6 linked regions of the Danio rerio genome follow. The protein of the gene in region 4 binds, or shares a complex with, the protein of the main gene of each other region. Links are inferred from orthologs where the notes say so. Each region holds a gene or a part of one and is shown on either strand. Other genes may lie near its edges.

Region 1 (3,500 bases), about 3.4 Mb from region 4:
TCGCAGGGGAAAAAAATATCGCAATGTCAATTTTTTCCAATATCGTGCAGCCCTAATTTATTTTATGAATAAAGTAGTTGAACGTTCACAGAAACGTCTCTTATCTATGGATGAGTCTGGCTTTGACTTTCTGCTACAGTACAACCACAAGCATTTTTGGTGTAATCTCAAAACAAAAAATTGACAGCGAAACCCACTGACAGCTAGTGTATTTGAATTGTTATTGCTAGAGCAGCACAGACAAAAAACAGAAATATGTTTAAAACAGCGGTGGCAAAGTGCATGGTTGGGTACACAACTTGACCCTGCAGTATAAAACAGGCTCAAGTGTGACAGCGTCTTAAAAGAGTTAACTGTAAAACAAAGAACGATTACAAAGCTGACACTGCACTTCCAGTGAAGGAAAGACAAATTCATCTCTGAATTTAAAACTTCAGTGAGTCTACATACATGTATAATGAGGATCTGTGGCTTTTAAGTGAACGCAAGACAGCAGTCACAAAAGAAAAAAAAAAACATTAGGGTCATGAAAAGACTTTCACCTCTAAACGAGAGTGCTCCTCTCATGGTACCACCTCTAGCTCTTCCTCGTAATCCTCGTCCTCTTCCACCACCCTGCATCAAGGAGCCAATGGGTCGACCCAGTCTGGCCTGGATGTTGCTCTTTCCAAGACGCTGCTTCAGGCTCTACAGTGGGATATAAAAAATATTGCATCTCTGTGCGGACTTTGTAAAAAACGCTAAGCAAGCAACAAATAATAATTCATATTGATATTGTATTAATATAAAATGTATTAAAGGATACAGAAAAAATTATAGCTGAAGTCAAAATTATTAGCCCTCCTGTGATTTTTTTTTCTTTTTCAAACATTTCCCAAATGATGTTTAACCAAGCAAGGGATTTTTCCACAGTATTTCCTATAATATTTTTTTCTTGTGGAGAAAGTCTTATTTTATTTTGGCTAGAATAAAATTATTTTTAATATTTTTAACCATTTTGAGGTGTATATTATTAGCACCAATATTTGTTTTCTATTGTCTACAGCAGTTCTCAATCACAGGGCTGTGGACCAGTAGTGGCCAGTGGATCTATTGGTACCAGGCCGCAATCATTAACTATTTCCATTTTATTTATTATCTGAGTCTAGACTATGTTTTATTTAGAAAAATGACTGTGTTCTCTCGCTTACATCTTAGTCACTTGAGCGCCCAAATTTAACCCACAAGCAGCAAAATGAGTAAGAAACACGTCTTTGGAAAGTTTCTTTACTGAGTGGAAAATGCCAACAGAAGGACTATGATATGCCAAGGAATGAATCCACAACCTATTTGTCATCAAATCAGGTGAATCTACCATGTCTGTGCAAGGAGATCAACTGCTAAAGATTGCAAATGACGGCAGCCTTTCAGGGGTCATTCGCACATCACGTTATTTCCAATGAAGTTGCTCAGCTTGCACGCCCAAGGGGCGTGAAGCTCTCTTCTTCCAGACGCACTCAGTTGAATCAATGCAGTGAGCACACCACGAGTCACGTGATAAGAACTGACTGATGAAATTCAGCTTGGATGGAGCCATATCACCCTGCAGCCCAAGACCGGTTACTCACTGAAGCTAAGCAGGGCTGAGCCTGGTCAGTACCTGAATGAGAGACCACTAGGGAAAACTAGGTTCCTGTTGGAAGTGGTGTTAGTGAGGCCAGCAGGGGGCGCTCAACCTGTGGTCTGTGTGAGTCCTAATGCCATAGTAAAAGTGAAGGGGACACAACACTGTCAGTGGGCACTGTCTTTCGGATGAGACGTTAAACCGAGGTCCTGACTCTCTGTGGTCATTAAAAATCCCATGGCACTTCTCGTAAAGAGCAGGGGTGTAACCACGTTGTCCTGGCCAAAGTTCCTCAATCGGCCCTTACGATCATGGCCTCCCAATCATCCCCATCTACTGAATTGGCTCTATCACTGTCTCTTCACTCCACCAATAACTGGTATGTGGTGACCGCACTGGCGCCGTTGTCCTGTGGCTGCCGTCGCATCATCCAAGTGGATGCTGCACACTGGTGGTGGTGTGGAGAGATCCCCCTAATGATTGTGAAGTGCTTTGGGTGTACGGCCATACACAATAAATGCGCGATACAACTACACATTACATTACATATATATATATTTTTGGTAGACTAATTACCTCAGACAAACACAGAACACTCAAACACTGTAGTGCTTTGGAATATTTATGGAATTCTCCATAAATAAAACTTAGTGACAGCAACGTTTTTTTTTTCAGCTTGTCGTCGTTGTATGTGGCAAAAAAACATACAAACGAGCTAATAATTCAGGAAAACTTATAATGACTACACATATGCATGAACGTTTTTTTTTCTTTCTTTTTGATGCGCAGCATTAAAAATAGGTCAACCAATGAGTTTGTTGCTTTTTTTCACACTAGTGGAACTGCTGAATAAACAGTAAAACATGACTTGTTGGCATAAAATGGTCTAGGCAGCTACACCTTGCTAATAACGAAGAATGATACACAGAGCAAGAGAAATGTAGAGCTGCTGGTTTCATTGGTGTCAAAATACTGATGGTAAGCAAAAGCAAAAATGTACACAAACCTTTATATTAAACCAAAACCAAGAACAGAATAAATACAACTATCATAACATTTCTGTAAATTCAACACTTTTCTTTGTGTACCATGACATTGACATCTCTACCATTTCCGGTGGTTTGCACTTTTTGTCCTCTTACCTGTTTGTGATGAAGTGCAGCCTGCACAGAGGGCCTGTTCTCCATCTGCTGAGCAAGGAGGCGGTTGTGTGCACTGGCCATGTGCTGTTGCTGCATGGTCGCCCGGATGCTACTCACTGTCGGCTGCTTGTTCTTCAGCATGTTTGTAAAGCTTTTAGGACACAACAGGAGGAGGAGGGTAGACAGAGAGAGACAGAAAGAAGGAAGAGGGAAAGGGGGATACGAGGAAAGGATGGTTCCAAATCAAATCATTTCGCACAGCATGGACGCAGCTACAGTGGATCCTGTAGCAATCTAGTAATGGCCTGAATAGACCACATGTGCTGTCATTTACTCTCTCTCTCTGTTACATGTAGAGACACCCCAACAAATCAGCAGTTTGGGTTAAACTGAATGCTTGGAATATGGTTTTAAGCAAAGAGGGATGACAGAAGAGCGATAGAGGCTACATCCACATTAGTCCGGAATAGAACCCTTTTAAAGATCCTAAACACTGAAATTATAGAATGAAGAGTTGAAATAAGCATCAATCTGTCAATGCCACAAGAGGCAGCTAATGCAATAGGCTACATGGCTTGATCGATGTCTGTCAAGACTAAAATCCAACACACATTCATATTACAGACCAATATGATTTAATTTAGAGGATCTTGTAGCATTTAATAGTGTTAAAAATAAGTGCTACTTTGTACCATCTTTATACTACTCTCTCGCAAAACATTGCTGTAAAATGCTAAGATGCGTTAAAACATTAG
Region 2 (2,982 bases), on a different chromosome or scaffold from region 4:
CAATTGAGAAAAACGCCAATTTAAGAAGAAAGTTTCAGATGAAACTGAAATGTTTTTCTTGATCTGAACACTTTATATGTAAATCAAGCCAATAAAATTATCTTTATTTAACCTGATTAGCAAAGGTGAATTATATACATTGTTATTTTAATTTAAGAAAATCCATTACAATTATCTCAATCGACGAATTCAAACAAGTTCTAGTTTTTTTGCAGTGTTGATGTCTAAAATTAAAACCGATATATTTTCCTGTTGTTGTTTTTTTTTTATTAATAAATGAATCAGATCAAAAACACACTAAAATTACTAAATAAACAAATAAATGATAAATATGTTTTGAGCACATACAAAAACACTAAAACTACATTATAGCAGAGAGTACATAAAATAGTCAATTAAGCGCTAAAATTAGGGTGCTTTGTTTTCCAACAGTATTTTGGAGTTGATCACACAAAAAGACAACATGTGGCTTTTAAAATCAAGAAAAATATGAAACAGTATTCATTTTAAAAATAAAGTACATAATTTATTGCTATAAAAACAAACACACATTCAAAAATGCCTGTATTAGCAATGAGACATCTTTTCTTTGAGCATGTGATGCCCTCTGCTGGTCATTTCTAAAACTAGCATTACAGTTTTATCTCAATTTTTCTCAAAAACAGCAATGGTCAATTATTGAAAACAAGAACAGCGTGCTGTACTAAATCACAAGATTTTTTTTAAGTATTCTGCACAGATTCTACATTAAACTTTGTTTTTGTATTATCACACAGTCATATTTTGGTAAAAGACAAATAAAAACTCATATTCAGAGGAGCTGCAGGCAGTAGTTATTTACACCTGTACTTTAAACCAAAAACTAATATGAGAGCAGAACATCAGAATATCTTTTAACTATTTACAAATTTACTTTAAAACAATAAGTCTAATGAAAATTAATTTGCTCGAATAACATCTCAATTTTATCTTAATATGTGTAAACGGACCTCAGGAATCATTGGGAAGGCCGAAGAGTTTGACGGTGCCCGCTTCTCGGTTGCTGTCGTATTTGCCCTCTTTATCGTCACAGGCATATGCTAACAGCGGCCTCTTCGGATGCCAGGCTACAGTGAAGGTTGGAGACTCGCACTGAATTTCCCACAGTTTCTCCCCTACAGACAGGAGACGGTTAGTAAAATGCGAGTAAAGCTTTCATCATGTTGTAAAGATGCATCTGCTCACCTGTCTCTACTTCTGCTATGTCAATGAAATGGTCTTCTGATGCAGATGCCAGCATTTTACCATCATGACTGAAGCTAAGAGTTCGTACAGGCCAGTCCAGTCTGTTGGATTCAAGACAAAATAGTTTAAAGAAAATTTAAATAAAAACTATGCGAGACATAATAATTTAAAAGTGTGATTAATCAATGAACTTGAATGGTTCATAAAAAAACTTTCTCTCGCTTTGCAAAAATTTAGAAATGTGCTCATGTAAAACTGATAAATACTGATGATAGATTAAAATTCATTATATTTTTTGTTTCTAACTCCATATGCAATAACCACAAAGTAAATGCATTACAACATCATCTTAGCATTATTTTTGTATCACTTAAAGGTGCCCTTTAATGAAAATCTGGGTATACCAATACATAGTAGAATAATAAAAGATCCACGAATTTCCACAAATGTAAAACTCCAGTGGATAACAGGCCAATCAGAAGACAAAACAAACTGTGACGAGGGTCATGGGCCATGTCCTCCGCATTTGCATGTAAAGCTACTTGTCATTCAAATTGATATTAATTCCTGGGTGTGTTTTCTTTGACTGTAACTTCAAAATACAACGCAAAACATGTCTATCACTCTCTTTTGTCAAGTTTAATTATAATTTAGCCTTTTTCCACAACAGATCTGGTGAGCAAAATAGGTTAACATTACTCTGATTGGGTTTATATTTCTCCATGTTCAGCGTACTGTACATTATGCTGTGTGTGTGTGTCTCTAGGTGCAGCGGAGCTCATTAATATTCACAAGATGAACCATATATGGTCAATCATGGACCTTCTGATTCTATGGGAATTTGTATGGATTAATGAATTAGCTTAATAAATCATTTCTAGAGATTTATTTTTTAACTTACCAAAGCCATAAACCTACAATGTAGATATCAGAGAACAATTTAACTTATTAAACCAATGCAGAATATGGCACATTTAAATACACTACTTATTAATAATTAAAAATAAATATTTTCACTGACATAAAATCTAGTTTTTAGAATTTTATTAACTGTTGTTATTTTTAAATTTCATTATTAGTAAATTCTGCAGTTTAACCCATTTAGTTTCATTTTAGTTTTTATTGTAACTATAATTTAAAATTTTAAAACGTAAAAAAAGCTAAATAAAGAGTAAATGTTATGAGATCAGTCAAACATAGAAATATAAATTAAGTCAATTTAAAAAAAATAAAATTAAATATTTAATTAAATAAAAATTTACTATTTGTTAGCTTATTCATTATTAAAAAGGGAAGTCACTCATTTGAGACAGTCAACTGAAATTTGGTCTTAAAACTACAAAACTTATATTTAGCTTTGTTGTATAATGTTCTATAACTTTAATATAAAATTTAAATTTAAACACTGTGAGATAATTCAAAGTTATAAAAAAAAAAAAATGTACATTTTTATTTATATATAATCTAAAAAAGTCAAAACTGACCTTGAGAAGCATCGCACACACACCAGCTCCTCCACGTTCCACAGGCTGACCAGGGCATCTGCACTTCCAGTGGCAAAATACTTCCCAGTCGGATCAAACTTAATGCAGATGCAGTTGGATGGATGGGCATTAATTGACTGGATGAGCTTCAGTTCAGGGTAACTGTAACAGAGTCATGACATATGATTGACAAATATATATATACACACATATATATACACACATATACATATATATATATATATATATATATATATATATATATATATATATA
Region 3 (4,031 bases), on a different chromosome or scaffold from region 4:
GATTGAGCATTTATGTGGAACTGTTCTACAATCATTATATAATTATGAAATTGAACAATGCGCTAAATTTATGCAACTAAAAGTTTTTCTGTTATAAAATATTTTCAAAAAACTACCAACAATTTGGGTGAAGTTTTATTGTAAAAAGCTTATCGTAAGTTACAGATATTTAGCAGAGACATTTTTTTAAATATAGTACAAAGTATTTACATCTTTCAGTTTACAGAAAGGAAAAACAAACTCCATCATGGTAACTGAATTATTAGTGAAGGATTAATATCGTCGGTTCATTTTCTTAAATTTCTCATAGTGGTAGTCATCTGTGGCCTTCTCGTTATTGGGTCTCTTGCGGAAATTGGGTGGTGAGGCTGGAGACCGAAAAAAATACACCAAATCATATGAACATGAATACATTAAAAACAGCAGGGCATAAAAGCTGAAGAGGTTTTCAATCTGATCTTACCCTCAGGTGCTGGTTTCTCTGTGTCTCCTACACGCAATGGCCTGGCTTTAGGCTCTTCTCTGTTGCGTCTTTGGGGCGCGTTTGAATCCTCATGGTAGACTTGACAAAATAGAACAGATGATGACTTAATCTTTCTTCTTTGGGATAGCAAATGTTTTAAATATGGTTCACATTTTACTGTTTACTTATTTGTTAGGCATAGACAGAGCTGTTGATAAAAGCTTACACTTGAAAACAGATATGGTTAGTGAACAATTTTGAGAAATCAATCATTGGCCTTTTCTTTGTACAGTTTTGTTACAAAATGTATTTTAAGTAAATGCTCTGCTTTTGAAATTTACATTAATTTCCGTTTTTTTTAATATTGAAAGATAAATGTGTAAATTAGGCACCAAATCATCGTATTAGAAAGAATTGTGAAGAACTGGACTAATGTTTGCTGAACAATTCAGCTTTACAATGAACAATTTACAACATTTTTTTATAATCTTAAAAACCTGATTATGAAAAAAAGAAAATGAGTGCAATTACAGACTGCAAAAATATTTCACAAGATTACATTTTTAAAGGGATACTTCTACTCAAAAGTTTTTTAATTCTGCCATCATTTAAATCAGCCTTCACTTGTTCAAAACCAAAACACAAAGAAGCCATTGACGATGATGGATTCCAGCAATCAGTTTTCTTCAAAACATCTTCTTTTGGGTTCAACAAAAGAAAGAAACTAATAACTGTTTAAAACCACATGAAGGAGAACAAATGAAAAAAAATGAACTATCCCTTAAATGTGAGCATAAGAGACTTAAAAACATCTTACTGACAAACGTTTGAACAAACAGTTGTTTGTGTGTACACTTACAGCGATTATGCTGGACGTAATTGACCGCAATGTTTGTGGGAACAAAGGAGGTCCCGCTGTCTTTCTTCTTATTCCTCTGCTCAGCTAGCAGCTTTGCTTTGGCTTCTTCTGTGTTGATGATATTCTTTATCTTTGCGCTGAGAAGAAAGAGAGAAAAGAGGCTTTTAGGTTGACATCAATCATTTGTTTGTTCTGAGCCACCAGTCTAGAGAAAACAATAACTGATGTCCATGAATTAGCTTGTGTCTTTACTCACTCAATCCCCAGATCCACCTCTGGAATTCCGCTCAGCATCTGATTGGACAACATCTCTTCTGTCTTTTTGGCAGAGCTGACGTTGATGTTCTCTGGAAGCTCATACAGGAGGTCCTCTGGATTCTTCACCTTTACCTTCTGCTCCTCTGCCTCCACCATGCCTTTCTTTTTCTTTAACTCTGTCTCAATGTACTTCATCCTGCGTGAAATGAGATGCATGATGGGAGAGGCTTTAAACATAGTGACAAAACCAGCAATGCAGAGAGTATGTGATGTAGAAGCATGCACTTACATGTCAGCATCTTCATCTCTTCTGTTTGTCTCGGCAGAAAAGGATGTACCAAGATTGAGGTCATTTTCATCCACTGTCCTGTAACAAAAGAGGAAGTGTCAAGATGCAAATATAGAGACATCTTGAAATGAAAAGCTAACATGTTTACTTAATTCTTACATGTCTCTGCTTCTGTCTTTCACTTTCTTCATGTCAACAACACCTCCAGTCTTCAGTTTAAATGGGTCATCCTATGACATAAACATGGAGGGACAAAATGTCAAACCTCTATTAGCTCATAGAGAAGAACAAAGTTACACTGCAAGGCTTGTATTGTAGTGCAAAATGTAGTTTGATTAAAATAATAAAACACCTCAAGCTCAGCCTCTAAAGGAAGCTTCTCTCCAACAAGTAACGTTGCAATGCTGGACAAACAGAATGGAAAATAGCATTTATTATTCTCACTTTAATTACACAATGAAAAGAAAGAAAAATGTAAACACCACCAACAGTAACAACCACAAAGCAGCTCATGACCAACCTCACTCCATGCTGCCTTTTTCGCAGACTCTGTAGCTCCTTGGCTTCATCCAGTTTTGACCTGGGTAAACATATAATAAAAGTAACATCTTTAAATAGTTTTTCACATTCAATAGGTTTCTGTCCTCTCTGAATGCATGTACAAACTAAACAAGTCAGCTGCATTAATCTTTTCTGCTCGTTTTACCAAGCGGTTTACAACAGCTGTGTTTACTTTGTTTGGCCTGAATGTGTTGAATATATCTACCTGACTACGAATTTTGTTTCATCATCTTCCTCGTCGGATGAATCCTCTTTCCTTCTTCTAAAATTTTTACCTGGTGGCATGACTTGTTTTTAAAACTCGTCGAATTATTTACTGATAAGCGTTACGTTACCCCTCGTCCGTCTGTACGCAACGGTGGCGGTCTATGTTTAGTGACGGACCTCATTCTCTAGAAACTTCCGCTCGCTGGCATCACATTTGTCGTCTTAACAGTTGATCTCAGATCAGCTTGCCTGTTTTTTGTACAGCCGTTGAACGGCGAAAAGCGGAATGATGAGACTGGTTCTAGATCAGCTGCTTCTATGACACGATACAGAAAAACAAAACAAAAACGGCGTAAATTTAATAATAAACACTCTATACGATAAATGAACGTGTAAAACAAGCAGTATGTGTATTTTATAATCGAAGTAAATAAAAAATTATTTGATCATGCTAAAGAACGAAATGCGCTCATTGGCTGTGGTCAAAGCCGTGACGCACGCTTCTGCTGTATTCAGTATGGATGCTGCTTAGTAGTAACGTTACACTGCTTCCCACCACTGTTACAAACACCTCCGATTGGCCTAAAATGACTATCTATGAGCGATATTTTTGTTTCTGTATGACAGGTAAATATCTGTTTCTGTCTTTCCTTTTGCTAAATCGGACTGTCACTGTTGTTTGATATGATAACATCATGTCGACTCAGCGTATGAATAGTGTCTTGCAGACCGAGTGGAAATATGGCCTGTTTATTCTGCAAGATCGTGATGTTAAACAGCTTTTAGGTGGTTCACCGTGACGTATTTGAGGACTGCTGTGTGTTTATGAACATAATAAACACCGAAGACGAAGAGGAAAAACTATTTGTTTTGTTTTAGATATTATGTTTTAATTCAGATGAATTGTTTGCATTACATTCATATTAACGCGATTGTTTTCTGCGTCGTTTCGGACTTCAGTTGAAGTTAGTTTTCTAGTGAAAATTTGATTCATAGAATCATGTTTTTTTATATCAATTATTGTATATTTCCCTTGCTGTAATGGAGGTGTTGGTACGGGACGAATGTTTTTTTTTCCCATCAACTGACTAGGCGAATGAAACAGCAATTTTGGCCTCTTAACAGTTCTAGGCAGAAACATAACACACATTGAGCAGATATGCTAGATAGATACCATCCTCAATACTCTATAAATATTTTTAAATTTTTATACTTATAAAAAAAATATTATATAATATGGTATATATTTCCGTTAATATCTATTCAATGAGGGCAGATTTTTATTTATAATTCTCACTGGTAATGAGAGTGTAAGGTTCTTATGGGGACAGTTTATCAAATAATTTTGTCATCATTTCATATTAATGAAAGTTTATGGTTTCTGACTTTTTGAT
Region 4 (3,500 bases):
GATACTTTTTGAACGATTCGACAAGAACTGCTCTTACTCGGGGAGGTGCTCGCAGATCACCCACTGACTGCCTGGAGCTCAGATGTGCACTTATGCTGCAGTACATGCCAGAATCTGTGTGTGATCACGTGATGTGCGTTTTCGGCAGTATAGTGTGGACGGAGAACTTTTCAGAGATGCCAGTGGATGTGAATCGTCTCCGTTCTAAAACGGCATTTTAAAAGTAAAACATTCTAGTGTTAACGGGCCTGAAAGTCCTGCAATGGGTGTGACAGACAAAGGGACATCCAAAACATGCAGTGCTGATGGCCCTCCAGGAACGTGGTTGAGAAACACCCTATTAAGTGACTAATTGTTTTCATAACATGCATTTACATGGTAGACTGTGAATTTTGACTCGTGCTGAGTAAAAAAAGCTATGAATTCTAATGTGAATGTGTATAATGTTAAAACAAGTTCTTTGCTGAGTGCTAAGCAGATCGTAAGCAAATTTACAATCGGGGAAAAAATGAACAAATTCATATAAATAAGGCACCAATTTGAAAAATGTAAAAAAGTTACAAATTGCAGTGAAGTTATGTGGAGTGACATAGGTTACATCAACCAAAAGAAGTTTGTAGAGGCAAGTTATATTTTGTTGTGTGAAAGAACGTACTGATGAATGATGCACAATAAGAACAGGAATGTATACTTAAAGCAAATCGGGTGAGTTTTGATTTCATGTTGACTTTAGTACTCATATCTCCATACTACATATATTTTAAAGTCAGTTCCAAACTCCACATCGATAACTAGTTTGACTTTGCATTCTGTGGAGGATGTGTAGTTTTGGAACATATATTCAGAAATAGCACAGATATGATTTCAGGCTTGATATAGCTAAAAGTAGTCTAGGACAGCCTGGTAGCATTTATCAACGCATAGAGACAGTGTGTGTGTTGTGTCCTGTCCTGTGTCCTCATTGGCTTGGGATGGGAGGGGAGGGTAAATCTAACCCCCATCCCTTCTCTTCCCTCCCTTTCTCCTGCTTTTTCATAAATCTCCTTTCTAACACCATCTTCTCCCTCTCGTTGTCACATCCTCCCCCCTCTGCTGTCCTTTGCTAAAATCGTTATACTTCTTTTGTCCTTGTTTTTCTTTGTGTTCTGGTGTTCTTTCTTTCCCTGTCCCCCATTGACACCCATGCCATCACGTTGTCATAAATACCACTTCCTCTTTCACACCCTTGTAACATAATTATCTGCTCCACCCATGTCTTGTCAAATTTCCTGTACGCATCGTCACACAATCTTAACCCCGTGAACCTGCACACTCCTCTTCCACCCCTCCTCACCTTCCTCCCTCCTGCTTCCACTGGTTGTCCTTAGCCGATGGAAATTTTTGTGGACGACGAGACCAAGTTGACACTTCACGGCCTCCAGCAGTACTACGTCAAGCTGAAGGACAACGAGAAGAACAGGAAGCTCTTTGATCTCCTGGATGTGTTGGAGTTCAACCAGGTATCTTGAGAGTCCACAAGGACACACGCAAATGTCTTGCGCCAGTGTTTCTCAACCATGTTCTTGGAGGACCACCAACACTGCATGTTATGGATGTCTCTCTTGTCTGTCCATTTCTGGTCTTTCAGTCTCTGCTAATGAGCTTATGATCTGATTCAGGTGTGTTTGGTTAAGGAGACATCGGCTGCGTTGACATACTTCTATACAATATAGTACGCTAAAATCAGTATGCGAGCCGAGTAGTATGTCCGAATTTATAGAATTTGAAAATCAGTATGCGATGACCTACTACTTCCTGCGAGATTTGGATGGATGCTACGCTATCCCATGATGCCCCACGAGAAAGTTTATGAATGGGAGAGAAGTGACGCAACTCACGTGATCATGACAAAATAGCGAATGTAGTACTTCCGAGTTCTAACTACTGACATTCATACTGTACAATCTACTTTTCTAATTGCTGAGTAGTACGTATAAGCTAAAATGCAGTACCTACCGAGTAGTAGGCGGTTTCAGGGATAGCCATGGAAAAGTGCAGAGCTGCTGGTCCTCCACTTATGTGGTTGAGAAGCATGGTGACCATGTATTTATATGATTTTCAGTGATTCAATCACAAGTGGTCTGAGAAAACACATTGGTATTACATTCTTTCTGTTGTGGTCATTCGTGATAGGATTTTTAGGAACTTTTCCTGTTTATTTGACTTTTTGTATCACTTTAGTGGGAACATTCAGTGTGAAAAAATATTATTGAATAAATGAAGTTGTGTTTTCTGGTAAACAAGAGAATAAATACCTTGGTACTGTGCAGTGAAGCATAGATATCTTGTTTTGGTGTGTTTACTCACCATTACATTTATTAGTCAGTAGCTGGTCTAATGTGATCTTTCAAATGCAATTGCCCATATGGGATGATCACATTGCTAAACAATGATAGTTATTATTTTTAAAAACTGTTAAAATGCATATTTGTCTACCTTTAAAAGTAGACAAGCTTAAAATAATTTAACCCCCATTTACACCTACTCGAAAGTGTCAACCGTTTGTGATCAGATTCAAAACAATGCATCTTAGGCCCTGTTCACACCTGGTATTAAGATTTGTTTTTGTCGATCTGATCACAAGTGGACAAAGCAGACATATTATCGTTTAGACCTGCCATTTAAATGTGTCTCTTCTGTCAACTTTTGATCATTTCTGTCCTGATTTTATTGAGGGGAGATATTATGTGTGGGTCCCGATGCTTGTTGGTGTGCAATAATATTACATCAGAACCTAGCTCTTAAAGTTGTTGTTAAGCTTAAAGATGCTGCACAAAACAATGTGCATGTTTAGTTTTTTTTTTTTATTTTGAGTGGATGAAATGCTCGTGCAACTAAAGGCTGTTTTATACTTCTGTGTCGAGAATTTGGTGTGACCCACGGTGCCTGCCTTGCGTATAGTCGTGCATTTATACTTCTGCGAACTGTTTGTGTTTTATTGCAATAACACTTCCAAAGCGCTAGCTGGCAATAGGTTTTTATGTGCTTCTGTGTTGTATTTCTTTGCTAGTGTTCCATATTTTTTTTAATTCTACCTTAATGTACAAGTAGCTAAAACTCGCTCGTTCAGAAGTGGTAACCGGCGCATGTGCAGCAACATTATGTATAGGGTAAACACAAAACAAAAGTTTCCATTTGAAGCTCCTTCACAGGACTCGACACTTGTAAACACTCACTTCAACGGGTTTGCGCAGCTCTTGAACCAGCCCACACTCAGCACAGCTACCAAGCCAACCAATCACAAAGTTTGCGCTACGCATTGTTGGAAAATTTTTGAGAGGTGGCTGGAGTATACACGTGCGCTTGGCACAGAAGTACATATCAGCCTTAAGACATCATCAGATAATAAGATAATTGAGAAAAACGAGGAGAGCAGTTGCTTTCCGTTTCACACAAAGCTGACGTGTCCGGCCATTGAGCGGACAGAGGGCAGTGTTTAGAGGCTGTTCAACTACATGAGC
Region 5 (3,967 bases), on a different chromosome or scaffold from region 4:
ATCAACTTTACCTCATTCTCAGTCAAGCAAATTTAAAATATTTAAATTCACATTTTAATTCATGTTGAATTATTTTCATATCTACGTAAAAAGCTTTGTATTCATAAACTGAATCATAATGGCACAAACTGAACTGACGAAGCAAAAGAAAGATGGATTTTAAAACGTCTTATTATTTCATAATATACTATGTTATATGTAGCCTATGTAGCCAGAGGGGGTTCAGAAAAAAAAACCCTTACTGACAAATGTGCAGAATTTTTCCCATTCATGAGCTCATATGTCGTATTTTGACTGCTACATGCCATCATAAATAGTAAAAATAACCAATTAAAAAGGCATAATCCTCTGTTGGCTGTTGCTTCGGTGTGACTTCAGCAAATCAGTCTTGGTCAATGCTAACAAATGTTTTTGATGATCAACATCTAGCTGTGTAGGAAATCACACAATCTGACATAAGTGACGTCATCTTTCGCTACTGTTTGTAAACAGAGAAAACGTTTTACAAGTAACTTTTGTTCTAAATCTTGGAACTTATCTTGAAACTAAAAATGAGCAATAAAAAGGGTGGCCTATAGTAAAATTGATTTGAATACTAATTAGGCTATTGTTATCCTTAATTTTCAAATGCACTTTTTAACATGTAAGGCTAGAAAATTGTAAAGCTTTTATTATTATTATTTTTTATTATTGAAATGGCCAAATTCTGACTGAAGAAATTGAATGTGCTGGCTAGATTGTTATTTGCCTAATAAATGACACTAGACAATAGTTTTTAACTTAAAACTTTTTCAGATTCCTAATGTATTTTTAAAAAGCTAAATCATGATTCATAACTGAACTGACGATATTGCTCAAACAAATTGACGAGTCTTGTGGAACCACACTTTAAAACGAACTGTTCAAATGAACCGATTCGCGAAAATGAATCTCATTTCTCAATACTGTCAAAAACTAAACTAACTACCTACTAATACAGTATTTCTGAAAGACACGCTATCAGTCGACTAGTCTAAAACGAGTTTTCAGCAAAACATTTAAATGACTTTGTAATAATAAAGTAAAAGCTAGCCGTTCAGAAAACTGTTGTGAGCTCGGCGGGTTTGCTTCGCAACAGAGGCGGGGCGCTGATGCCTTGCGTGTCCGCGCGCGCCTGACAATAAAGTTTTTTCTAACAGTCCAGTTAGCCTGCTGGAGAATGGGTAGCATTACTGATGGTAAGATTTTCCTTTGTTTTATTTTTCTTAACTATCATGTAATTGTAATTTATGTAGCAAATCTGAAGGAATTATTACAGTAGCGTACGTCCATGTTTTTATTTCCTGGAAACTAAACGAACTCCTTTGAAATGTCTACATGAGGAGTCTTAGCTAACAGTTAGTTAGCCACATGCTAAAACTGATTAACTAAAACAAGTTACAAGATGTATAAGTATAATTTATTACGCTGACTTTGGTTTTGGATAGGCATTACAGTGATATAAAATATATTGGTAAGTATAATATGTAAATACGATAATATGAAAATTTGATGGCACCCTTCTGACACTTTTCAATGTTGGATCAATCAGTTAAATCAAGCATCAAGGTTGGAAAATAAACTGATTTTTTGCTGAATTTAGAGATTTACTTTGTTTCAAAAATAATCAAGCAGAATATATATATATATATATATATATATATATATATATATATATATATATATATATATATATATATATATATATATATTGTTCCACATTTAGTCACTGAATACAATTTACAGTATAATATCTGTGCTATGCTATTTAGACCTATATTTAGACTAAATAATATCTATGTCTCCTCCCTCACAGATGAGGTTATTCGGAAGCGTCTTCTGATCGATGGAGATGGAGCTGGAGATGACAGACGCATTAATGTGCTCATGAAGAGCTTCACCAAATGGTGCCACTCCAGTTTCTCACCAGAGGAGGGGTAATTTACATTCTGGTTTAACTTTATATACCTGACTTGATAAGATTTTTTTTTTCTTTTCCTTTAAAATATTCCACTGATTAGTTACCACGACCTTGGGTGTAATTACTTTATCATTCATATGTGTCTGCAGGATGTCTCAGTATCAAAGAATGATGATGTCCTTGGCTCAGTGTGAATTCTCCATGGGGAAAACCTTGCTTGTGTACAACATGAACCTGAAAGAAATGGAGAATTATGAAGGAATCTATACCGATATTGGTAAGACTTCTTGTTGACTTCCCTGCTTTTTTCTTTTGGGTTGATTGGATTATATGCTGACAAGGGAGACACATTCCTGTTTGCACTCATTGTTTTAATCTACATCTTTTGACTATATTAAATATTACTTTGAGGGCAGGATATTAGGCATGGGCCGGTATATGTTTCTGACAATATTATAACCTTGGATAAAAATATCACGGACACATGGTATTGTGATTACTGCTCTGAATTATATTCTTTTTAAATGTCTGGGTAAAAACAAAAACTTTGAACACTATATTTTACTTTGATAAAGATTTAAAGTATTTTGGAGCAGTGAATATGCCAGGCTAAATAATTCAAAATGAATCATTGATTTCTTTCCAATTTAAAACAACCTCTTTGGATATCTTTTCTGCTGGAGATACTGTTGTTCTGAACTCTATTTATACCGTAGCAAGAGTAAAGCAGAAATTTAGGACTTTACTTTTCCAATGCGCAGTATACCTTGAAAACGGTTATCATCCCATGCCTACAGGATAAAAGGGTGGGTGTTTGTGTAAGCTTTTTCAATTATTTCTAATATCGCAAAATAACCTTGCATAATAGAAAATGATACAGAGTGCTGCAGCCTTCATTTCTGCTCTGGTGGCTACAAAACTACACCAAATTCAGATCAGTGTGTTAAATCTGTGAATTGTTTATCGTAGACTCTCTTTGATCAAATAATTTGAATCAGTGAATCATTCAAGGGAGATACTCAGACTGAAAACATCATTCAAATCAGTTATTTGTTGACTCGTAAACATGTCTATCCAATTCGCAAATTAATTGTTCAGTGCAATTTGTGAATTGATTTAACTGGCTAACTGATAAAATTCAGCTTGTTCACGAATCAAGTTGGATTCAAAAGTGCAGTATTTTGTTTTGTATTCTGATTTTCAATCAGAACTTTTCAATCTGCCTTTTATCAGTGATTTTTATGGCGAGTTCAGACTGCATGATTTTCAAAGTAGTCATGTCACAGATGTTTTCACCCTGTATGACTGTCGGGGGTAGTATTTCATCGCTGCTTTGTTTACCCTGCAAGATGGATTGGCAACGGGGGGTTCACACTGTATGATTTAGAATAGGAAGAATTGGCGACAACTTTGTCCCGGTCTACAAACTACATCTCAAAACCAAGCACAGAAGAAGTGACATGGAAATAATGTAGTATATCTTTTGTCATGAACTATATAATGAGAATAAAGCCTTTAGTGGGGTAGAAAATTTACTTATTTTGCTCACTTGGCCTTTAATAGGAATTAGCAATTTCTCCTCAACTTTTTCTTTTTCGACCCGGTTGCTCAGATGACACTTCAAACAGAAACGGGTGCTCCTGCCAAATTTACACTAGTTGTTCCTCCATTTTTTGGGGTCCAAATAGACAAAATAGAAGCACTTTTAACTTGTTCCCCAACCTCCCGCTGGCCTGCAGATTTCACACGGCATGATTTGAATCGTCGACAGATCCAGCTGTTTAGCACACTGAATATCTCACATGTGTCTACGACACATCACCGATTCTCTCCGATTGTGTCTTTGATAGTTCATACTGTGTGGTTGATACTTGCGTGAATGAGTACCTATTTGCCTGTGATTTCAGGCATTTTTTGCAATTTCTTGAAACCTGTTGTCGAGTCAAAAATCAGGGCTAAAATCATGCAGTTTGAATTTGGCATTATTTTGCTGAGTGTTCTGTATTTTTATAGTTATTATTTTTTTGT
Region 6 (3,500 bases), on a different chromosome or scaffold from region 4:
CGCTAGCTCTCGTGCTCTTGGCAGCAGGCAAAACAAATTTAAAAGATAGGCTTACTCATTCCATTTTCATCTTTGCGGCGTTTGGCTTCCTGGCTCATCTCGCGATCGCTGTTCAAGTAGTCCTATAAGCGTGAAGGGAGAAAGACAGCACAACTTAAAATAGTGCTTTTTAGGCATACTAATAACTGCTGTAAAACTCTTAAAACATGAGGGAATGATATGGCATCTGGACCAATGAAAGAAATATGCTGGTGCATGAGCATGAAGGTCAAGTAATTTAAATAATGTATTTAAGTGTGAATTAAGCTTTCACAAGTGGGATTTGCAATGTTTTGCTTCAATCACAAAGCATGATTCAGCAAAAGGCTTTATTGAGAATTTGTTGGTTTAAGCCTTGTAAAATGTCCTGCTCAATAACATTTGTGATGCTTAAAAACTGCTTCCTCCAATACAGAGGACTTACTCGTTTTCGGTCCTTCCGGTCTTCTTTCTTTTCCCTCTCTTTGGAGCGGTCCCTGGATTTATCAGACTCTTTCTTCTCATCATCCTTCTCTTTGATCTTGGACAGGACTGTGGTGTGGTTAGGATGGTGCTAAAGGACAGATGCAAAGATGATAGAAGGTTAATGTCTTACAGATGGAGCACACTAGCCCTCACAGTGGCCTGCTGCCTTTCATTAGCATGCCCCATTAGAGTTGCACCTGACAATCTGACACACCGACAGGAAGTCCAAGCACTCTATTAAAAGCTCAAGGCCCCTGCTGAACTTACATATGCAATTATTTCATATGACTCACATCAGAGCTACAATGCGCCAAAAAACTGCATGTGAAAAGTGTTCAAGAATTGTGCTAGCTAGCATAAAATCAAAAAACAATCTGTCAACCATTTGGTTTTACACAACAACGCTGCTACTACCATCTATGAATGCATCAAGTTATTATTCTTTAGTAATCAGTGACTTTCAATAAAAAGTGGTATTTAATAAACATGTATAAAATGCTGCAGCTTGATAAATTAGCTTCATCCAAATGGCCTTTAGGGTTATGGGCACAAAAAAAAACACCTGATCTCTTCTAACATGATTAACTGAGCAGTATCTTAATGTAACATTTCAGTGCTCCCCAAGAATAAAACGTATATCTTCAGAAAATCTGCAAACTAGAAAAACAATAACAACATATTCTGTAGGAACTGTACAACAGAACATAATAAAGGTTTTAAAACCTTGACCTTTCCAAACCATCATCCCATGCCTAATTACAACACCACAACTATGTGAACATCACAGACCAAGTGCTATCATGGCCACAGGACAATCACACACTTTTAGAACCGTAGGCATAATTCACCAAAAAAAAAGAAAAGAAACTTACTATTTACCCTCAAGTGGTTCTAAACCTTAATTAGTTTTATTATTCTGATGAACATTAAAGCTATTGTGAAGAAAGCTGAAAACCTGTAACCAGTGATCTCCCTAGAAACAGAAAAAAAATGAAAGCCAAAGGTTACAGGTTTCCAGCTTTCTGGAAATATCTTTATTGCAGTATAACAGAATAACATCCAATATTTATCAGCGGCAGTTGTGGCTTAATGGTTAGAGAGTTGGACTTGGGATTCAAAGGTACATTTTGGCTACTTTTTTTTTTTTCTTTCAATAATATTAAGTATGAACATACTACTCCGCTCATGCTCACAGACATACATACATATACATATATTTATTCAACAGTTCTGATTCTTGAATCTCATTGGCTAAAAGCCATGTCATGTCGGCATCCATCAGTCTGTCATTGAGTGAGCAAAAATGGTTGACATTGTCCATCCATAAGATGGCAACAGAGACCACATAACTCCTTAGAGGAGGAAAGATCAGCATATTTTCAAACTACAGCTGATCAAAACTTTCTAAAATTAGTGAGTGACATTCTAAGTCAATCTCTCTCTTTTTTTATGTTGCGGTGCTCTATTTATACCATAGTAATTGCAGTAGATTGAGTGTGATGGGACTCACATATCAGAAATGTATGCAATTTTGTGTTGGCCACTCTTCGTATAACCCCAAGTTACTTTTTGGTTGGCAATCTGTTTGTTTTTAATGAGTCTCCTGTTTTTGTTACTGCAGACTAGTTACAAGAAAGAAATTGCTGCATTTGTTAGCTTTTCTCCTTATCGCAAACACAACAATAATCTGGTAGTGATTGCGTTGCTTTGGCTTTTGCAAGGTTAATTATTGTGATCTCCCTTTTGCAACCTAAAAAAACTGGCAAATGTCTCTAAAACTAGACCGATGGCCTTTTATGCTTTTCATCCTTATAATCTTAAAATGTGAGCTAAATCATGTTTTGTCATCCCCTTAGACATTACGCTAGAGAATCATTCAAAAACTAGCTCTAAAGTGACGTTGGTGAATTAGTAAACGGCTGTTCTGATGTCAGCTGCTGATGTGAAGGAATGGCGGAAGAAAGTAGTTCCCCTTACAAAAGGATATTTAGACTTGATTTGCTGTTTTATATACACGATTATGCTGTCGAGCTGTTGTAACTCATAGTAGTGCGATGTGGCTGTACATCGTCACTGGTGGGAGAGTAAGACACATGCCTCCCACCAGTGCCTATGTACAGCCTTATCTGCTACTCGTGTGATATTGCTCATATATATATATAAAAGATTCAATAATGTAGGCAAGTATGTGGTTTCAGACGAACTGTAATATTTTGCACATTTTGTATGTCTGTCAAACACACCTGATTCAGACAAACTCTAACTAAAAGTTAGATGCCATTCAAAATATTTACAAATGTAGTGGAGTAAAAAAATACAAAATGTTCAATACAAAATATTTAAAAATGTTGTGATGTACACATTAACTTTAATACTCAGTACAAAGTAACCCAAAATATACTTAAGTAAAATAACCTATTACATGTACTCTAATACTTTACATTAAGGATTCCAAACCTTTTAGGCCATATGCCACACCAAAATTGTGTAATTTCACTTGCATCTACATGTAAACCCGAACTGTAAATCATCCTCCACTGTCACTTATTTTGCCAGTGTACACTCTGAATTCTCTCAGGTTGAAAAGCCATACTTTACAACACTATATCTATTAATGCCTTGACCTCCAAATTCACCTGACTGGAACCCAACCGATACATTTTTTGTTGGGTTCTCACTACCAAACTGTAATGTACAGTAACTGGAGACCTTTTCTGTTCTGTTCTAACTGATATCGGATAAGTCATATTGTTACCACCTCAAATTAATGCCTCACTGCAAAGGTGTTCACAATGCATCGCAGCCCTTACTCAAAAATCAGCATATTGTAGTTATCGTGTGCTACCAGTAGCACACGATTACTATAATATGCTGATTTGCTGCTCAAGAAACATTTCTTACTATTAACAATGACTTTCTTCTGTATTTGTGTGTATATAATTAAGTAGTAGCATTTTTCAAGTTTATTAAAATCACTTAATACTCTGTCATTTAAA

Evidence for each region.
Region 1: ddx39b (region 4) and chtopa share a complex: the UniProt entries of both Homo sapiens proteins name them as parts of the transcription/export (TREX) complex. The link is inferred for Danio rerio from reciprocal best matches to the Homo sapiens genes DDX39B and CHTOP.
Region 2: ddx39b (region 4) and thoc3 share a complex: the UniProt entries of both Homo sapiens proteins name them as parts of the transcription/export (TREX) complex. The link is inferred for Danio rerio from reciprocal best matches to the Homo sapiens genes DDX39B and THOC3.
Region 3: ddx39b (region 4) and zgc:103692 share a complex: the UniProt entries of both Homo sapiens proteins name them as parts of the spliceosome. The link is inferred for Danio rerio from reciprocal best matches to the Homo sapiens genes DDX39B and C9orf78.
Region 5: ddx39b (region 4) and thoc7 share a complex: the UniProt entries of both Homo sapiens proteins name them as parts of the transcription/export (TREX) complex. The link is inferred for Danio rerio from reciprocal best matches to the Homo sapiens genes DDX39B and THOC7.
Region 6: the proteins of ddx39b (region 4) and thoc2 are in contact, whole or in part, in a cryo-EM structure (PDB 7APK), measured with the Homo sapiens proteins. The link is inferred for Danio rerio from reciprocal best matches to the Homo sapiens genes DDX39B and THOC2. Residues at the interface, in NP_004631.1 of Homo sapiens: Leu282, Asp283, Val284, Leu285, Glu286, Phe287, Asn288, Gln310, Asn311, Phe312, Pro313, Asp335, Phe336, Gln337, Arg338, Arg339, Arg355, Ile420, Ile424, Glu425; in NP_001075019.1 of Homo sapiens: Lys550, Tyr551, Met553, Lys554, Arg555, Leu556, Thr557, Lys558, Glu559, Tyr582, Gln586, Lys589, Tyr590, Asp591, Asn592, Leu593, Pro596.

Annotation. Positions count from the first base shown.
Region 1 is NC_133194.1:26,321,443-26,324,942, forward strand, and holds part of chtopa (chromatin target of PRMT1a), read right to left. Parts: intron 2,897-3,500; coding exon 2,746-2,896; intron 688-2,745; coding exon 543-687; intron 1-542. UniProt on the Homo sapiens protein: Plays an important role in the ligand-dependent activation of estrogen receptor target genes. May play a role in the silencing of fetal globin genes.
Region 2 is NC_133189.1:29,781,857-29,784,838, reverse strand, and holds the end of thoc3 (THO complex subunit 3), read right to left. Parts: intron 2,871-2,982; coding exon 2,709-2,870; intron 1,326-2,708; coding exon 1,225-1,325; intron 1,155-1,224; coding exon 991-1,154; 3' UTR 501-990; downstream 1-500. UniProt on the Homo sapiens protein: Component of the THO subcomplex of the TREX complex which is thought to couple mRNA transcription, processing and nuclear export, and which specifically associates with spliced mRNA and not with unspliced pre-mRNA.
Region 3 is NC_133180.1:33,917,012-33,921,042, forward strand, and holds zgc:103692 (telomere length and silencing protein 1 homolog), read right to left. Parts: upstream 2,801-4,031; 5' UTR 2,716-2,800; coding exon 2,636-2,715; intron 2,450-2,635; coding exon 2,390-2,449; intron 2,274-2,389; coding exon 2,222-2,273; intron 2,100-2,221; coding exon 2,029-2,099; intron 1,948-2,028; coding exon 1,870-1,947; intron 1,777-1,869; coding exon 1,579-1,776; intron 1,460-1,578; coding exon 1,323-1,459; intron 563-1,322; coding exon 464-562; intron 369-463; coding exon 274-368; 3' UTR 123-273; downstream 1-122. UniProt on the Homo sapiens protein: Plays a role in pre-mRNA splicing by promoting usage of the upstream 3'-splice site at alternative NAGNAG splice sites; these are sites featuring alternative acceptor motifs separated by only a few nucleotides. May also modulate exon inclusion events.
Region 4 is NC_133194.1:29,766,605-29,770,104, forward strand, and holds part of ddx39b (DEAD (Asp-Glu-Ala-Asp) box polypeptide 39B), read left to right. Parts: intron 1-317; exon of another isoform or gene 318-1,367; coding exon 1,368-1,499; intron 1,500-3,500. UniProt on the Homo sapiens protein: Involved in nuclear export of spliced and unspliced mRNA. Component of the TREX complex which is thought to couple mRNA transcription, processing and nuclear export, and specifically associates with spliced mRNA and not with unspliced pre-mRNA.
Region 5 is NC_133186.1:21,694,329-21,698,295, forward strand, and holds the start of thoc7 (THO complex subunit 7 homolog), read left to right. Parts: upstream 1-1,167; 5' UTR 1,168-1,198; coding exon 1,199-1,217; intron 1,218-1,834; coding exon 1,835-1,955; intron 1,956-2,088; coding exon 2,089-2,216; intron 2,217-3,967. UniProt on the Homo sapiens protein: Component of the THO subcomplex of the TREX complex which is thought to couple mRNA transcription, processing and nuclear export, and which specifically associates with spliced mRNA and not with unspliced pre-mRNA.
Region 6 is NC_133189.1:13,039,634-13,043,133, reverse strand, and holds part of thoc2 (THO complex subunit 2), read right to left. Parts: intron 593-3,500; coding exon 464-592; intron 123-463; coding exon 56-122; intron 1-55. UniProt on the Homo sapiens protein: Component of the THO subcomplex of the TREX complex which is thought to couple mRNA transcription, processing and nuclear export, and which specifically associates with spliced mRNA and not with unspliced pre-mRNA.